3 linked regions of the Sus scrofa genome follow. The main gene of each other region encodes a partner of the protein of the gene in region 3 in a complex. Links are inferred from orthologs where the notes say so. Each region holds a gene or a part of one and is shown on either strand. Other genes may lie near its edges.

The links.
Region 1: MED26 (region 3) and MED12 share a complex: the UniProt entries of both Homo sapiens proteins name them as parts of the mediator complex. The link is inferred for Sus scrofa from reciprocal best matches to the Homo sapiens genes MED26 and MED12.
Region 2: MED26 (region 3) and MED31 share a complex: the UniProt entries of both Homo sapiens proteins name them as parts of the mediator complex. The link is inferred for Sus scrofa from reciprocal best matches to the Homo sapiens genes MED26 and MED31.

What each region holds. Positions count from the first base shown.
Region 1 is NC_010461.5:57,167,879-57,171,516, reverse strand, and holds part of MED12 (mediator of RNA polymerase II transcription subunit 12), read right to left. Parts: intron 2,649-3,638; coding exon 2,274-2,648; intron 2,054-2,273; coding exon 1,903-2,053; intron 1,749-1,902; coding exon 1,555-1,748; intron 1,380-1,554; coding exon 1,302-1,379; intron 1,210-1,301; coding exon 992-1,209; intron 1-991. UniProt on the Homo sapiens protein: Component of the Mediator complex, a coactivator involved in the regulated transcription of nearly all RNA polymerase II-dependent genes.
Region 2 is NC_010454.4:50,727,279-50,731,024, reverse strand, and holds the start of MED31 (mediator of RNA polymerase II transcription subunit 31), read right to left. Parts: upstream 2,345-3,746; 5' UTR 2,069-2,344; coding exon 2,041-2,068; intron 1,817-2,040; exon of another isoform or gene 1,753-1,816; intron 1,185-1,752; coding exon 1,107-1,184; intron 353-1,106; coding exon 256-352; intron 1-255. Other genes in the region: C12H17orf100 (uncharacterized protein C17orf100 homolog), read left to right, coding at 2,540-2,911. UniProt on the Homo sapiens protein: Component of the Mediator complex, a coactivator involved in the regulated transcription of nearly all RNA polymerase II-dependent genes.
Region 3 is NC_010444.4:60,983,031-60,986,776, forward strand, and holds the start of MED26 (mediator of RNA polymerase II transcription subunit 26), read left to right. Parts: upstream 1-1,219; 5' UTR 1,220-1,488; coding exon 1,489-1,560; intron 1,561-3,746. UniProt on the Homo sapiens protein: Component of the Mediator complex, a coactivator involved in the regulated transcription of nearly all RNA polymerase II-dependent genes.

The sequences.
Region 1 (3,638 bases), on a different chromosome or scaffold from region 3:
CTAAGTAAGGGACTTTTCTCCCAGTCCACCTCCCAGTGTTCTCAATCCTAAGCTGCAGAACCTCCAGACATGATGAGAGTATCTTTTTTCTTTGTGACTCCTTTTTTTTTGGTTTTGTCTTTTGTCTTTTTAGGGCCACACCCACAGCCTATGGAGGTTCCCAGGCTAGAGGTCCAATTCCAATGACCCCTAGCAGCAACAAGGGATCCGAGCTGAGTCTTCCACCTACACCACAGCTCACGGCAACGCCGGATCCTTAACCCACTGAGCAGGGCCAGGGATCGAACTCACAACCTCATGGTTCCTAGTCAGATTCATTTCCACTGCACCACAACAGGAACGCCATTATTATTATTATTGTTGTTGTTGTGGTTTAGGGCCACACCCGCGGTATATGGAGGTTCCCAGGCTAGGGGTCAAATCAGAGGTGTAGCTGCTGTCCTACACCACAGCCACAGCAACACCAGATCCAAGCCAAGTCTGCAACCTACACCATAGCTCAATCATGGCAATGCCAGATCCTTAGTCCACCGAGTGAGGCCACGGATTGAACCCACATCCTCATGGACACCATTCAGGTTCGTTAACCACTAAGCCACGACGGGAACTCCACGATGACAATATCTTAACTAAGGCCTGGCTGATATTCAGCACAATGGGAGGATGCATTCGCTGGTCCGTTCCAGTGCTAAACTGCATCTAGATGACTCCTCACCACAGAGCACATCTATGAACCTCAAGTCTTTCCTTCTCACAATCATATAAACGATTTCCCCTCTCCAGTCCTCAAAGATATGTTGGTGAAGTGGGTGTGAAAGTATTAGTCTCCAGGGTCCCTTCCAGCTCTGCCATTTTGTGGTGACCGGCCAAGTGGCAGGATAAGAGTTCTCGACGCCTCCAAAAGTCCTGACTAGTCCCGTCACCTCAGGCCCAGGTTTTCCCAAATCACAAGCCCCAGTGTGTCTGCACAGCCCCCAGCTCCCCTGGGTACCTTTGAGTGGAGGTCAGCCCATGTCCGTAGGTTGGAGCCTGTTGGTGTACATAGCCACTGGGCCGCTGCTGCAGGTGGCGAGTAGGATCTACAAGAGTAGGATTGGTAGAAGGGTGGGTGCTCTGATAAGGCTGGCTGGAGTAGCTGGGGGGCACCATGGTACCTGCGGGGCCTGTGTGTTGCTGCAATCCCACATGAGAAACATAAGGAGTATAGCCCTGGAGGGAAGGAGGACAGAGGGAGTCAGGGCCAAAAGTGTGCAGAGTGGCCTGCCTTGAGTGCCCCGATTCTCACCATCTCGTGCCCTTACCTGGGAGGTCTGCAAACCGTAGGACGAGCTGGGAGTCATCTGATGGACAGATGACTGTCCCAACATCCCCTGACTCTGCTAAAGGGAAAAAAGGAGAGAAACTCAAACTTAGGAAACACATCCTGCCACCTCATTTCTTATATCTCCTGCTCGTTGTGTCCTTGTGGAAATCCCAAGTGTCTCCTCAGTTCTGTGACCCTCAAAAGCCCCTCTCCCTGACGGCCCTCCCTACGGCCCCTCTCACTATCTTTGCCTGGAGCTGTTGGCGAAGGCGCTGTCCTTGGGGCACTGCAGGCTGCTGCTGTCGGTACACAGAGGTCTTGTAGGAGGGTTCCAGGCCCATGACGCCAGTCATGGTTGTGGGCAGCACTCCGGGGTAAGGTGGTCGGGTCGGCAGCTTCTGCATTGGCAACCGCACAGGGCGGTACGGGTCCACGCGGGGGCCGCCTGGAAAGGGGAGCAGGCTGACCTCTCTAGTCTCCTGGCCCCTCTGTCCCCTGCTCAGTGCCTGGGGCATCCACAGCTCCTTGGAAGAGTGGCATCGCCCCTCAGGCAGGAGGAATGTCCAGGTAAGCCCCTCGGGCTGGTGGCTGGCACTCACCTGCCGGGAGTGGCTGGTTCTGGGTGTAGAGGCCTATGGAGCCCTGCCTGTAGCTAAGGTGGGATATGGAGCCAGGGTTGGGGTGGTGCAGGAGATCTGGAGGCACTGTTACTCCATAGGGGCCACTGCGGCCTGAGCCCATCCCATAGTCCTGTGTGAATAGCAGAAGAGGAAGGTGAGAAGGCTGAGGTGAGGGAGGGTAGGAGGGGGGAACAGAAGCCGGATCTACGTGGCTCATTTTTTTTTTTTAATTCTAAGGGTCCCTCTTCCCCACATGCCCCTACCCCTCCCACAAACCAGACGCTAGACAGAATCAGGAAGAGACATGGGCTGGGGAGGCGTAACAGGGTCGTGGTGTCGGCAGTGCTAACCTCCGTCTTGGTGGCTGGCTGGCTGCGTTTCTTGCCCTTGGTGGACTTCTTCTTGCGTTCCTCAGTGCTGGGCGGAGCAGCCCCAGGTTTGTCAGTTTTGGGGGGCTCTGGAGCCTTTTTCTCAGGCTCCAGCAGGGTGGGGGCAGGGGGCTCCTCATCCTCCGGCGGCAGTGGGAGTGGCTCCAGGTAGTAGGCGCGGGGCCGGGGCCTCAGGTGTGTGTGGTAGAGCAGGAGCCGCTGCTGCTCCTCTCCGCGGGCCACACGCCGGTCCACCCGGACTGTTCCAAACCAGCCCCAAGACAGTGGTGCTGACGGCTTCAAGCCCTCGAAAAGATCCCAGGGAGAGATCTTTTGTTTGGTGGAAACCTGCAGACCCTGCTCCGGAAAATGAGAAACAGTGAGCTGTTGAGACTTGGAAAACAGAAGACAGACCTTGAGGACTTAGAGGAGAAGGAAAAGTTATCTGTGGGCAATAAAAGAAAGCCATAGGTAGATTTGGGGCAGAGGGCGAGAGGAAGACAGATGGACATGGACACACAGACACACAGACACACCGACACACACACACACACACACACACGTGGGGAAGAGAGAGTTAAGAGGGGAGAGGATGATGGTGGAGGGAGCAGAGGGAGACAGACAGAAACAGAGAGAGACACTGTCAGAGGAAGACAGGTATAGAAACAGGAAGGCAGAGAAAGAAAAGGCAGCAAGAGACTGAAGACAGAGAGAGAGACAGAGACAGGGAGAGAGAGAGAAAAAGAGGATGAGAGAGACAGTCAGAAAGAGAGAGGCAGAGACACTCATGCAGATAGAGAAAGATGAGCCAGGAAAAGAACGAAGAGGATGGATGGCTGTGAGAATGGGTGGGACTTTCGATTCTGAGCTCATCGTGTCCTCTTCTCCTTCTCCCTCCACTTCTCCGTAACAGTGATTATGGTTACCCAACAACTACTGTAACTGAGAGAGAGGAAAGAAAACTGCAGAGATGGGTGGATGGTTGTGGGGGGTGGGAGTGGAGAGAAACACAGGGATAAAAGAGATATGGGCTGTCAGCCAGGCGGAGAGGTGGGGTGCAGCCAGGCGGACAGGAGGCAGGTGGGGCAGAAGAAAGAGGAGGGTGGGGTGCTGAGAAATGGGTGGTATGTGCAAAGGTGCGTGGGGTGATGAAAGAGACCAAGGAAAGACAGTGAGACTCCTGAGCTGGGGAGAAGAGACGCGAGGAAAAATTAAGTGATTAGCTCAACACCCCAGGGATGGCTCTCAGCACCGACAGAGCCTGATGAGCCTCTTAGAGCTATAAGGTTAAGGCAGGGGAGGCTCTGGCCTGAAATGGAACAAAGGTGGAGGGCGGGGAGCAGGAGC
Region 2 (3,746 bases), on a different chromosome or scaffold from region 3:
GTGAAATTATTTCAAGTGGAAGGGTGGGGGTGGGGGTGGGGGTGGGGGTGGGGGTGGGGTAGGGATACCAGTGAGATTACTGCAATAATCCAAGTTAATTTAGAAACAAGTGTTTCATATTAAACTGGTGGAAACTAAAAGGAGCACAAAGAGGCAAAAAAATTTTTTTTCAAATGTGAAACTAAGACATCTAATTAAATATCAGTCTTTGTAATAAAGTACACATATATTTAGGACTATGAAAATTAAACTTACTTTAGATACTTGGCATATTCTGGCTCTTTCCAGTAAAGCAAGTACTTAAGATAATTAACAAAAGCTTTGTCTTTGAAGTAACCTCTTTGGGCAAGAACTGAAAGGCACAAAAAAAAAAAAAATCTGTAGAGCAAACCATCCTTGGACTACTTATTTCTGACTCCTGACATACATAAAGTAAACTTAACATAACATCCCCACCACTAAAAAACACTGAATTCAGGGAGTTCCCATCATGGCTCAGTGGTTAACGAATCCGACTAAGAACCATGAGGTTTCCGGTCCGATCCCTGGCCTCGCACAGTGGGTTAAGGATTTGGCGTTGCCGAGACCTGTGGTGTGGGTCGCAGACACGGCTCGGATCCCGAGTTGCATTGGCTGTGGCGTAGGCCAGGCGGCTACAGCTCCGATTCGACCCCTAGCCTGAGAACCTCCATATGCCATGTGAGCGGCCCAAGAAAATGGCAAAAAGACCAAAAAACAAAAAAAAAAAGACACTGAATTCAAAACACAAGTCCCAGTCTGCTCAATGATAATATATAGCAGTAAAAGTGTAGCAATAATTCCATTCACTTGAGAATGTATAAAAGTAGATAAAGTCATCCCAGGGACTCTGCAGGGGATTGGTTCCAGGAGACTCCACAGATTACCAAAATCCACAGATGCTCAAGTCCCTTATATAAAATGGTATAGTGCGATGACAGTGACAGTACTGTCACCTTCTGTATCTGAGGATTCAACCAACTGCAGTTGAACTGTGGATACCAAGGGCCAACAGTACTATGAATTGCAACTCTTCGGTCAGAAATCATCAATATTTACTCAATTCAACGGGGTACTGCTCAACTTACAATTAAGGTAATTTGGGTTGGCTAAACACTGCACAAATTCCAACTCCAATTGAAACCGAAGTCGATTCCCAGCATCATCTAGGAGAGAAGATATCAAAAATCATCCAAAATAAACGTCACTGAATACTGATTTGTAGAAAGAAAACATCAGTAATAAACCTAATGCTGAAATACACTTCTTCATAAAGAAGGGCATGTGATATTTTCCTAAACTGGGCGTGGGAGGAGAAAAACCTTTCTTAGAAGTCTAAGGAAAGCAAAGCCCTGATTAAAAGGAGTAAGACGTTTCTCTAAACTTAAAGACAAGTCATCAAAGAAAGCAAGAACACACAGGTCAGAATGTTTATGACCCGTGAGCTACCATGTAAGAAATTTAACAGTGATCACTGGGATAGATTAGGGTAACTGTGCCTTAATTTTAATAATGCATTACAAGTAGCTAGGTGATAAAGTTAGTAAACAAAAACAAAGTGAATGCTAAAGCCACCAAGAAAAAGTTCAGAATGCAAGCTGACAGAGGCTACGGCGAGTACACAAGATCAAGAAGCGTGTGCTTAGGTGAGAAGCGTCGTTGGTAGTATAATAACACAAATGTGTCGACGATGTTTTAACTTATGCAAGCTCGTTTGAGACGCAGAAAACAAACCGAAGATTGGTTTAAAATTGAAATTCTCTTTCTCGTTCTCGCCGGAAGCCAGTGGTGCCGGTGTCTGAAGAGCAATGAAAGAAAAAGTGTTGGCCAACAAATTAAACTCTGAAAAGGCCAAACTACCTTCACCCTTCCGACACTAGAAAAGTCCGCGGCCCTCCCGGTCCGAACTCACTCTGCCTGAAAGAAGTCAGGCCTGAAAGGAGAACGCGGGGGAGCAGGAGCGGGGGTTTGGGCCCAGGATAGTTCTACTTGCGAAGACGCGTGGCTCCGAGCGCGACTCACCTGTCTCCATAGCGACGGCGGCGGCCATCACGAGCAAAGACGCTAACCCACAAGCAGCCCAGCACAGCAAACGCCCGGAGCCGCGGGGGACGTGCCGGAAGCCGCCGCTCCCTCTTCCTGCCGCGGGGCAGTGTGGGACGCGAGGGCGGGATCAGCCTCGCGCGGGGGCGGGTGGCTCCGCCCATCCGCCCGCCCGCCCCGGCCCAGCCCAGCCCAGCCCCTCCTCCGCTCGCGGGAGCTCCTGACAGACGAGGGGGCGGTGCGCCCGCTGACCGAGCGCCTGAGGGGCCCGGCCCAGAGTTGCCAAGGAGTTTTCACGTCCCTCCCCACCCCTCAAGGAAACCTTGTCCCCAAGTCCCTGTGTCGTGGCACCCTCGTCTAGCGCTGTACCTGCGTCACACAGGCATGTGACGTCACTCGTCACCCTGTGACGTAACCCGTCGGGGAGCGTGAGGCGGTAAGGCCTCCCGAGGCCCGCTCGGTCCGTTACCCCCGTGGAATGGCCTCACCCCTTCGGGGAAAGCCCTCGCGGCCCCGGGCGGCGGCCGCCCGCTACGAGGAGACGTCGACGGTACGCGTAGAGACCTCGTCCCACCGCGTGGAGACATCCTCCCGCCAGGTGCAGACGTCCTCCCGGCGGGTGGAGACCACCCAGCACTGCAGCGAGGGGCCCTCCGTCTCCCCCTCTGGGAAACGGCTCCCTCGCGTCGTCGAGGTGTCCCAGCACGTGGAAACCTGGCAGCGCACGGAAACAGCCTCCCGCCGCGTCAGGGCCTCGTGCCTGCGGGTGGAGACGACTCTGCACCGCGTAGAGAGCCCGCCGCGGCAGGAGCAGCCGGCAGGCCGCCAGAATGTCCAAAAGGCCCCATGAGATGCTTCCTTCTCCAGGGCCACGACAGGGCCATGGCCCGTGGCCAGTGCAGATCTGCCTCCAGTTCGCAGCCGGCCTGCTGCCAGGTGGACCGATTCCCTTTGGTTTCCTGGAAACAGTCCACAATCCACAAATCAATGTAAGAAAGAGCCAAGCTGTGGTTTCAGGACTCAGCCAACATTCACTGACCCAGCTGCACCTTGGACTATCCTGCCTTTGACCCTGTGAACTGTTTTAACTTGAAACCAGCACAAAAAGTTCCGGGCCCCGGATACTGTATGAATTGAGTCGATGGACAAAGAGGCTCTTTGAACCTCTCAGACAGGTGAGTGTGGGGGTCCTTAAGCCCTGAATGACCTTTGCTGCTTCAAATTTAAGGACAGGGAGCAAGCAGAAATCATGACCAGTGGATTGATTATGTGCCCGCTGAAAACCTGGGGGGCAGGGATCAGACTTTCCTTAATTAGTTAATTCCTTAATTAGTTGGCCTATGTTTATATTTCAAAGCACGCAGTTCTTTTCTTTATGCTGAGCCCTTGTGCATGGTACCCCCCCCCGCCCCCCAGCCACACATGTTTTAACATAGGTCAAGTGCAGTTCAAAATGGAAAATGAAGGTCAACCATCAACAATCAAGAATAATTTTATGGGGGAAAAAACTGTAATTGCAATGTATACATGTAAGGATATCCTGACCCCCTTGCTGTACAGTGGGAAAATTAAAAAAAAAAAAAAAAAAAGAATAATTCTAGAAGGCAAACCTGACCTGTGATTTGAGGAGATGCAGGGGAGGGAGCCTGCATATTGAGCACCGACTCTGTGCTAGGTATTATCCT
Region 3 (3,746 bases):
CCTGTTTTAAATCTAGGTCTTCCTGTAACAAACGAAAAAAGTTATTTCTCCCGAGGCTGCGACTAATAATCCACTCAGCCTGCCCTTTCATCCCGTCACATAACTGAGTATTTAGCAGAGCTTCCAGAGGAGACAGCAATGAAAGAAGGCGCGGGGGTCGGCTTAGACTTGACAGTTAACAATTCTGGGCTTGACCTAGAACTCTGGATGACCTTGGGCCTCAGTTTCCTTCTTTGTAGTGGAGATTGAGAGAATGAGGACTGAAGGGTCTTTCTTTTAAACCAGGGATTCTCTACAGGAGTCGATTTTTGCCAGCCAAGGGACCTCTGGCAGTGATTGGAGACATTTTTGGCTGTCCCAGGCGGGGGAAAAGGGTGCTACTGGCATCTAGTGGGTAGAAACCAGGGATGCTGCTGAACATCATGCAATGCACAAGACAGGCCCTACAACAGAGTGATCCCAGCCCCAAATGTCTGGGCAGGTTGACTCCAACGTTGCGAGCTTGGCGTAGATACAGGCTTGCAACGCTGGTGTCAGCTCAGGGGTTGGCTTTGGGGCTTTCCTAGCTGGGGCGGCGGCTCCCATGCGGGGCGCTTGGCTATCGCACATTTTCGGGATCCCGGCCCGAGGCGCTGCAGACCCGTGCTCGTATCAACGCCCTCTGGAGGGGGAGGGGCTGGAGTGTTCCCGCACGCTCAACTGACCCTTACACGCACAAATTCACTACGGGGAAGTCTGCTCCCCTGGCCCTCAGAAACGCAAATAGAGGGCTTGTGAAAGACCCCAGGCTCAGAAAACTTGGCAGCTTCTCCTGCCCGCGATTTCCATCACCTCCATCAGAACAGGGAAAGCTTTTCTCCCCGAGGAGAGGTCCTTCGGCTGCTCTGATACGGCCTCCCACAGCGCCGGAGTTCAAGGACTCGGCGCCCACCTAGCGTTTCGGTCGGAGACCTCGGCCCCCAAGCCGGGGCGGGGGCGGGGCCTGCAGGCGGTGGCCGTTGCCCCGCCCAACCGCCTCCCAACGGCTCCCTTGGCCGGGCGGCGGGGAGGAACCAAGCGGTGGGGCGAGTGCGCCTGCGCGCGCATGCGTATGGGTATGGGGCCGGGCCCGCGCGTGGCCCCGCCCAGGTTCGGCGTCTCTGCCCGCCCCATCTCCCAACCTCCTCAGCGTGGCGCCGACGCTGCGTGCGGCGCGGGTTACCCAGAGTGCTCCGCGCGAGGGTAGCTCACTGGAGTTTGGTTCTCGAGGCGGCGGCAGCAGCGGCAGAGGCTCCGGCGGCTCCTCCTCCTCCTCCGGTGGCGGCGGCGCCCCGGGCCTGAGCCCCGGCCCCGGCTCCCCCTCTGCCACCCCGCGCGCCCCCACTTTCTCCGGCGCCGCGGGGAACATGAGGCTCCGCTCCCGGAGGCCGGCGAGTGAGTGACCCCCGTCCCCCACCTCAGCCCGCCCGCCCGCTGGCCCGGCCGCTCCCCCCCCGCCTCGCCCAGGCAATGACAGCGGCTCCGCCGTCTCCGCAGCAGATCAGGGACCGGCTGCTGCAGGCCATCGACCCCCAGAGCAACGTAAGTGTCCACGGCACGGGCTGTGGTGGAGGCCGCGTGGGCCCGGGACCCTCCCCCTCCCTACTGCCTCTCTCCTGCCGGGTTCTGGGGGACCCGTCGGACGCTCACCTGCCCCCAAGGGCCGCTGCCATCTCGGCCTCTCGCCCCTCGGGCCCGGGTCGGGGCAGGTCGGGCAGCCCGGCGGCGTTCGGTACGTGAGGCCGAGGCTTTCGTGAGGCCTGGGCGGAGGGAGCAGATGGGAGCTGAGACCAGAGCTTTTCCTCAGTTCCCGCTCCAGCTCTTCGACCCTTGCTGCTACTGACAGAGCTCGCTTGCCTTTTCCTTCCCGGGAGACCCCCGACCCCCGGGAAGCCCTCCCGGCGCGGGGGAGGGGAGAGGGAAAGGCTGTGGAGCAACTGGTGTCCGGGGTATGATTCGGGGATCCCGTGTCGCCAGTGTCTCGGCCTTCTGGGTGATCGGGAAGTCCTTCGCTTTCCTCCCGGCTGGAAGCACCTTCCCGGCTTCGGAGAGAATCCCTCGACTTGCTTTGCCCCTAGCCGGCTGCCTAGGGCGCGTAAAGAGTCCTCTTCGGTTCTGAGAGTGAACATGTCTTTGCAGGATCCCTCCTGGGGTCGCTGCTGACGGAAGACGATCTTGTGGAGAGTGGATTCTTTTACCTTTCTGGGCCTGAGTACTCACTGCGTCTCTGACCAAGCCAGAGCCCCGCTTTTTGGTAGTGAATTAGAGGTGATTGTTTTCTCTCCCATTCCCCCCATAGCCCTCCTTCAGCTGTCTCTTCCCCCTACCTGGGGTCCCAGCCTGTTGGTTTGTGACCTAGACCATCCGGGTTAACCTCAGGGTGTTGCTTTCTCAGACGCTCCTCTACCCAGGCTGCTGTTTGTAGAGGGATCTTCCCTGCCCCCTTCCGTGTGTGGGGGGAAAGATTCATTGAGTTCTCATATCTTCTCTGAGTGGTTGCTGGCCATAAGGGTCATTTTTCCCTGTGGCAGGAGCAGGTTCAGCAGTAGGAAGATGCAGTAGCATCCAAGTAAGAGATGAGTCCCTGCATTTCCTGGGAGACCAGGAAGTGGCCCTTAAGATCATTTTTTAATGTACTGGGGCTAGAAGGAAAAACCCTCTTGGGCTTGGCCAGGTAACTCAGGTTTCTATCACTATGGAGGCTTTTGCTTTTCTTTTACAGGAGTTTGGCTGATTACTTTTAGCAGTAGGCTTTAGCTTAGCATTTTTAGAATTCATGTTGGATTGTACAGTTTTGGTAGATATAGAGAAGTTATGCTCTAAGACTCTGATTTCTATATCATAAGTAATTCTGTTGTTCCTGGTCTACAGGCCCTATTAGAGTAGCCGTGGTGGTAATTGTCTTTAACAAATGTTGTATACATTTTTTTTTATGACTTTGGGGGTGGACTAGGCACAAAGTATATAAGATCTTGCAGGATTTTTGCAGTAACTGGTGCCGCAGAGGTTCCCAAGACTGAAATATTAGAGGATAAAACAAGTGATGTGAAAAATGTAGCCTTGGTGTCTTTTGCATCAGTCAGAGTGTAATTTCTTGAATTCCATTTGCGTGTTTGCCTTCCAGAGAATCTGAAAGGTTCCTGAGATATTAGCACTGATCCTTAATGCCATCTAGGAGAGCTTTGGGATCAGGAGGGGCTTTGATGCATAGTCCCCGTATTGTAGATTAGGTGGGGCAGTGACCTCAGGGGTTCCAGTGTTGTGTAAGGCTCTAATCTGAAAGGTTCCTCCTAGGAATACAGGAGGAAGAGGGTCCAAGCCCACCATTGTGTTGTATGTTATGGTATTCACATTTCACATGGCTTATTTGGGACAACTCTTGTGATAGGTGTGTGTGGAATCTTACTAATGTAAATGTAGTGGATAGAATTGAGAAGTTGCCTCTGAATATGAGTGATGAGAAAGTGCCTCCTTTAAATGCTGCTACTGTCAGTGTCAGCCCTGAATATCACTATAAGCCATTGGACAGGAGTGTGGCTTGGAGCAAACCCCAAGCCACACTCCTGTCCACACTCCTGTGGATAGAGATGGTACAAGTGTATCTCTGCAGTTTCTCCTGATTGACCTGAGCTCAGGTGAGAACTAGGTGGCTCCAACAAGGCATTGCTAGCACACAGCTGCTCTTTTCTGCCTTGCCCAAGTAGGAACTTCACTTCTGCATAGTTAGT